2 linked regions of the Kluyveromyces lactis genome follow. The protein of the gene in region 2 interacts with the protein of the main gene of each other region in a pairwise test. Links are inferred from orthologs where the notes say so. Each region holds a gene or a part of one and is shown on either strand. Other genes may lie near its edges.

What was found.
Region 1: the proteins of GID7 (region 2) and GID8 interact in binary tests that used the Saccharomyces cerevisiae proteins (3 or more experiments, as listed by UniProt). The link is inferred for Kluyveromyces lactis from reciprocal best matches to the Saccharomyces cerevisiae genes GID7 and GID8.

What each region holds. Positions count from the first base shown.
Region 1 is NC_006042.1:1,569,762-1,572,900, reverse strand, and holds GID8 (glucose-induced degradation complex subunit GID8), read right to left. Parts: upstream 1,612-3,139; coding exon 550-1,611; downstream 1-549. Other genes in the region: ERG29 (Erg29p), read left to right, coding at 1-460; GAT2 (Gat2p), read left to right, coding at 2,534-3,139. UniProt on the Saccharomyces cerevisiae protein: Component of the GID E3 ligase complex recruiting N termini and catalyzing ubiquitination of proteins targeted for degradation.
Region 2 is NC_006039.1:88,785-92,722, reverse strand, and holds GID7 (glucose-induced degradation complex subunit GID7), read right to left. Parts: upstream 2,746-3,938; coding exon 592-2,745; downstream 1-591. Other genes in the region: ATG22 (Atg22p), read left to right, coding at 1-599; KLLA0_C01155g (uncharacterized protein), read right to left, coding at 3,194-3,938.

The sequences.
Region 1 (3,139 bases), on a different chromosome or scaffold from region 2:
ATTCATACATGACGATTCGTACCATGCCACAGAATGGTTTGATGAAAAATCCGGTCTCATAATCGAGGAGTTCGAATCGAGGGAAAAGTTCTTTGCCAAACCTGTGCATGTCGCTCACATATACGTTAGATGCCAAGTTATCGACGAAGATACCAAAAAGCTTCTGTTGGATAATCCAATCACATTCCACATTGAATTCTCACCAGAAGAATTCGAAAATGAAAAAAGACCAGAGTTTGGTTGTACATTAAGGCTATTAAAATCAAAACTTTATCACTTCTTTAAAGATGGTCACTTTTATGATCAGTTCAAACAGCCAAGCAAAACCTTCACCATTACCAAAAATGTAAAAATCTACAACACCATGAGCGAGGAACTTCCAAAAAACCTCGACGATATTCAATTGTGTTTCTTAAAGATGGAAACTGGTGACACTATAGACTGTGAGTTTTTGGTGTGAAAATTGCAAGCTGCCGTTAAATGCTTGAAAACATAATGTGAATATAGGGAACCCATGCATATATAGTATAAAAGATTATAGATTTTGCACTAAATCACTCCTTCAACCCTCGGAACACCAACATCCGAACTATGCAATTGGTTTTCACACCAAACCCAAAGTTTCATGATTTGTACCAATCTAACGTCGTTAGGGATATAATAAGAATGCAAGTTCTCACCTAACTCTTCAAAGATTTCACCTTGTATGCGACTCATGTCGGAATTGGTGCTCATAGAACTTCCCTGCTTTTCTTCAATATGTGCTAGCTCTCCGGTAAGCCTTTCTGTCGTGATAGATTCCCTTGGAATGGATCGTATAACGTTTGTTAGAGTGGGAACTCGATTTGATTGGAAGCTGGATCCTAAGATGTCAGGTAAACCAGATTTTTCGAGTTGAGAGTTTATCCTCGGTAATATCGATTGCAAAAGCTTTCTGTTCACTAGATCAGCTACTTTAGTTCTCATATTTAAGGAATATAGCTGTTTCAACTTCTTTGGTAACTTAGCAGAAGGACTCGAACCATCCTCATCCGATAACGGGAAGAGAAGAAGGGTCATAACTAATTCGACTTCCTTCATATACTCTTTTTTGGAGCTTGCTTTCAAAGCAAGTTTATCCTGAGCATAAGAGATAAGCTCTAATATAAACTGCTCCTGATCGTTAGGGTCGCCCTTGGCGTTGTGGGAACGAATCATTTCAATAAGGTTCAACAACAATAGCTTGAAGTTCAAATCTTCATCTGTAATATGGTCATTCAAACTTTCGAGTACCTCTATTCCAAATACCTCGGTAATCTTTTCCATAGCTAGTAAAATTTCACCCTTCTTGATAAGTTCCTTGATGTATGCCCTTTTCTTAATCATATATACAGAGTTGAATTCTTCAATGTCTTTGTTGGAATTCAAAAACCCAAGCTCCTTAGCCATGCGGATACTAGATTCCTCATATGCCATCACCACAAAATAGTTCAATAATAACATTGGTATTACCGGCTCATTATTCGACAACTCACTGTTGCTGCGATCATAGGGATTGGCGTCCTGCACCACTTTCATCCATTGTTCTCTAGTGAAAGATTTCTTCTCATAGGTAGATTTAAAATTGGTCATCGTTTGTATGAAGCAATAAGTCTAGGGAAAACTAGATTGGCTTATGCTTAGCGCAAATAGTATAGTACCACTCTTTCTTTCAATATTAGGGGCTAAGGAAGTCTCACTTTCAACTTACAATTAGGTGCTCATTTTTTTGTTTTTCTGTTGATAATGCCCAGTTTCTTTACTAAGTGATGTTAAGGTTCATTTCGTGAAAAACCTTTGTGAATAAATAAGGGAACAGGCCTCTGACGACGAGGAAATGGGACAGATCAATTCTGAAAAGAAAAGGAGTTCATGTAGATATCAAATCGTGGTTTGTAGCTTCAGATAACAGTAATCGAGAAACTTCTCAATTTAAATCTTCTTGAATCTGGACTCTTTTTTTTGTATCTTTCAAGTAGAGGGAAACGATTCATGAGATGTCACTCATAGCAGCTATAGTCGACATTTTACGTAGTAATATACAAAACAGTAGACATATCGAGGGCATAACACAGATTTAAAAACTTTACAGTTTCAATATTCATTGGTTTAGGATCAATAATGAAATGGAGGAGGCAATCCAAGCCGTTTCTATATTCTAAATTGAAACTTACTTAGATTCTGATGACAAAAAAGTGTCAAATCAAATTAAGGAACTGAAATGATCTATACAAAAATGAAATGATATAAATATATGCGTACTTTTCCGAGTTCTTCGAACATCAAATAAGCCAGGTATTTAAGGCCAAGAGTAGATTCGAAACTAACAGAGAGGTAACTCGTTAGATTGCAATCTCATTATCATTCAATTGAAATAACAAAATAGAACCACAGAGCCAAACCAAATTTTTTTGCCAAGACACAGTCGATATCATTTTGAATAATATATTCGTTCAACATTGCTTATCACACATACACATAAATAGACATACGGCTAGTCAGTATAATTGTTATTATGACATTCATGGAAACTATGACAGCGTCGCTGGCACAAAAGGGGTCCCAAAGTCCCAAATCTGGTTCTATTTCATCATCTGCAACTCCTACATCGAGAACACCTCAATCATTATCCCAAAGTGTCAGCTACCATAGTGTTGCTTCCATCCCAAATCTATTGAACTACGACAGGCAGAACGATTCGAGTATTCGGACAAACAAGACGTCACAAACAAACATTACCGTTTCAACGACAGGAAATTTTCTTTCGTCGTCAAATTCGTCACCGCAAATTAGTCCTCGTCAAAGGGACTACCATTACGGTGGTCACTATAGAAGTGGATCCCTTGATTTTTTGGCTGACACTGCGATCGACCAGGATATGAATCAAGAAGAATTCAAACGGATTTTGAAAAGACTATCAGAGTACAATGAACAGTTGACATTTCATTTGCTGACATGGAGTTCCCAGAAGATTAAGGATGTTTTGGTCAATGATCTCACCCAACTTTCCAACGAAACAAGATCTATGTTAAAGGTTACGAATAGGTTGTTAGAGTTGAAGAACATGAACGATTGGAACAGGAAAAAACCGCAACTCCCTAGTATTAATCAGCTTAGAAAC
Region 2 (3,938 bases):
TCTTTCTCATTGGGTGGTTTATTATATCTGATTCTTTGACGACAATTAACTCTACTGCCATTTTGTTTGCCAAAACGGAGTTGAAGATGACAGCTATAAATCTAATTACTCTAAGTATCATAACGATGGTTATGGCAATGCTTGGTGCTGTCTACATACCCCATTTATTAAGCGAACGTTTGAGACTTCCCTTGCAGCAGGTTTTGATCATTATAATCATTTGGTCTAGTGTTATTCCATTGTATGGGATGACGGGATTTGTATTCCAAAACATTGGTTTGAAACACAAATTTGAGATGTATATCTTGGGAGTGTGGTATGGTGTGTCCTTGGGAGGCTTAGCTGCTGTGTCGCGTTCGTTATTCAGTTTGCTTGTACCACGTGGGAAAGAATCTACATTTTTCAGTCTTTTTAGTGTAACTGATAAAGGCTCCTCAATACTAGGACCACTGTTGATCGGCTTAATTACAGATAAAACTCATAATATTAGGTATGCATTTTACTTGTTATTCCTTTTTTTGGTGGTTTCACTACCAGTCTTCCACGGTTTGGACGTGGAAAGAGGAAAAAGAGAAGCTAGACAATTGTCTACTATGTAGCAGATACCCTCCATACTTTAACTAGACCATCATCACCGCCGGATGCAAACATTGTTTGATCTTGAGGATTCCATGCAACAATGTTACATATCTTTGATTGTGAACTTGTCGAATTTTCCGAATGGGCAGGTATTACACCAATGATATTACCATAGAACCTATCCCACAAATAAATCTTTCCATCCTCGGAACCACTTGCAATAAAATTTGAATAATAACCGAAACATGAACGTATTATGAAATTTGATTGGATTTGACCGATGTACCTTTGTATTAAAATATCTCTTTGATAGTCCCAAAGTTGTAGCTCTTGGTTTTGAATCGAGACTAGTAATAATGATGATAGTGATGGATCTGGAGAACATTGAGAAGTGTCTGGGAACTGCATTCCAGTCATTCTTTTACCGATCAATAATCGTCTCTTTCTGGGAGAAACGAACGTTGCATTCTCTTTAATGCAGTATTTCAACGTTGATATGTCAAACACATCAATGTACTTCTCATTATTCATCACAATCAAGTCATTATCATCAGATGAAATCTTGATATCATGAACATGAGGGAAGGACGACTTTAAATCTTCTCCCATAGTCATCGAAATTCTAGCGAAAATGGTAGCCGTTTTCATGTCATAAATTATTACATCAGAATCCGGAGAACCTAATACGATGAAGTCTTTCAATTCGGGATCATGGAACCAATCTCCACACCATAACCTCATAGTTTCAGCTGATGCTGGTGTATTATTAGATGAAATGGCAGATGAATCTGAAGTCGTGGGGAATGTAACAAATACGGATGCTACAGGTTTAAGCTGATCATATTCGCATAAATAGCCATCATATGTAGGGGGGGATAGCTGGTTTAGGTCATATATTTTTGCAGCGGAGTTGATTGAACATGCGATCAATTTCGTGTTGTCAGGGGAAAATTTAAGATATAAAACAGACTGACGAGTTTCACAACATATAGCATATATTTCGAAGTTATTTTTTACATCATAGATGATGATTTTCCTTTCGAATTTCTTTGAGGGGCTTGCACTGGCCAAAAATCTCCCATCTGACGAGAATTGTAAGAACCAGATTTCGTCATTGTTGCGATTCAATGTTTTGATGTTATCAAATTGAAACTGAGTTGATTTTGTAACATTATCCTGTAACAAATTATAGGTACTTGAAGCACTTCTTTTAGTACCAGTTGATGAATCCTCAATATGAAAGCTTAACAAATCTCTTGAACGTTGGTATTGAATTGCTTGTTTCAATAGTTGCATTAATCTACCACGAGGAACTAAATCATTAGGATTAATAAAGTGAGCGATGTGTTCAAATGTGGCCTCTCTGGTAACGAAAGGTGCAGCATTGGAGTTTTGACCACATACAATCAAGGTAGAAAGCTGCGATAATAAGTGTTCAGGTTGGAAAGAGGAAAAAGAGTTGGAATACATGACATCATTTCCTGTTTGCCACTGTATTTCTGAGTCATATTTCATTGTTTGCAGTGTTAGCAACGTATCCCAAATCGAGATCGTAGGTCTAATGACAAGCCTTAATAATTCCAAGGCCATTCGTCTATCTGACATCAAAATCTCAGAGAAAGCCAAAGTTTGAATTGCAACTAGCATTTCCACGCATATAGTTAACTTAACTATATCAACGTCCTTGAATTCGGACAGACGTTTCATCACGAAACCTAGTTTCTCATATTCAGCGAGAAAGTGGTCAATTATTGTGGTTGAAATGTTGCGTTTTGTTTGGGGTAATTCGACATGTGATAAGTCACCTGATAGTTCAAGGGACTCGAGAAATATGGGTAGCTGAAGCAATAGATCCAACGTACAGTGGTAAAACCTACCCTCTTTTATAGCAGAAAACAATGACTTCACATGAGTTGATTCGACCAATATCCCACCGCTCTCCTTTTGTAAGGTAATTGCAGTTTCTTCATATCCGATTTGTTTTAAAGCATCAATCAACAACTTTGTTAACTGCACTCGATCGAAAGGTTGATCTGATCCGTCAATGTCTAGATGTGACAAAGGCTTTTTGGTATATTTAGGAATGAACGAGTCATGGCTAGTAGGGACAGTGCTGACAGAAGCATTGCTCTGTGAAACGTCTGATCCTGCGGTTTGAACAGCCATAATTTTTAATTTCGACCAACCTATGAGTGATTTGTGATTAAAGAACCTGTTCTGTAAGCTTTGCTTGGTCAATGAGTTCTGTAAATGATTGTAGCAACTCTTTTATCTTCAACTATTCTTTCGTGAAGTAACCAGTGAGGGTTGGTTTAAATTTTATGAAATTGTCTTTTAAGGGATTTCTCGAAGAAGGGCAGTTGTAAATCAAAGGAAAAAAAAAGGTACGATACCAATAGATAAAGTAAGCTTACATAACAAAGTTATAAGAGAGTGAGTTGAATACATTAAACAGATTTCTGGCTACTGTAACTACATAAAAGTAAATGTGCGTTTGGTGCTCTGTAGCGAATGTATTGTTATTGTTTTTCATCCTTTAAAGTCATTCATAGACGTAACTGCATTATATGCGGAATTAAAACCAAATCAAAATGTTTAAAAAATGTCATTAAAATTAATAATTTGCATGCAAAGCACACAAAGCAGCGCCAACACCGGAACCATCCTTGGAGATACGTAGATGGACATCACGTTCACCCTCGGGGCCAATTGGAGAAAGTGCTAATGCATGTCTCATCATAGATCTGAATCCTGGATAGTGCTCAACGACACTACCGTCACAACCAACCTCTACTTGGCAGTGATAACTCTGGTTCAAAGCGTTGGTTTTGATCAAAATTGCAGCAATTGGCACTGCGGCTAAGAATGCAGCTCTCCTGGAAATAGCTCTTACCAATTTTTGGATCAAGACACGTTCTTCGAAGGTGGTCTCCAAGTCAGCAGCCTTTAAAAGAGCATCCCTTGTGTCCTGTAAGTCGTTCTCAACGGTATCAATTTCGATATGTGATAAAGTTTCTGTGGTTAAAATAAAGGGATTGTTCTTTAAAACAGATTCCTTCAAGTCGAATAACTCTTGTTTTTCAAGGTCTAGTAGTATGTTACGAAGTATTTCACCCAAATAAAGACCACTGACCCTTTTTTCAAACAAGTGGAACCCGGGATTGGTGGAGAACTGCTGATCAATCTTAATATCATAACTTGTAGTAGGCAAATGATTTAGTTCATTATCAAAAGAGCCCCATTCGGTATTGATGCACATATGGGTCTTCCCCTGAGACAGAAGTTCTTCTCTGCTAGCTGGATCCAATTTGTGAATATTTTCAAGCTTTTCCATGTAGCAGCCGTTCGTACCAGTACCA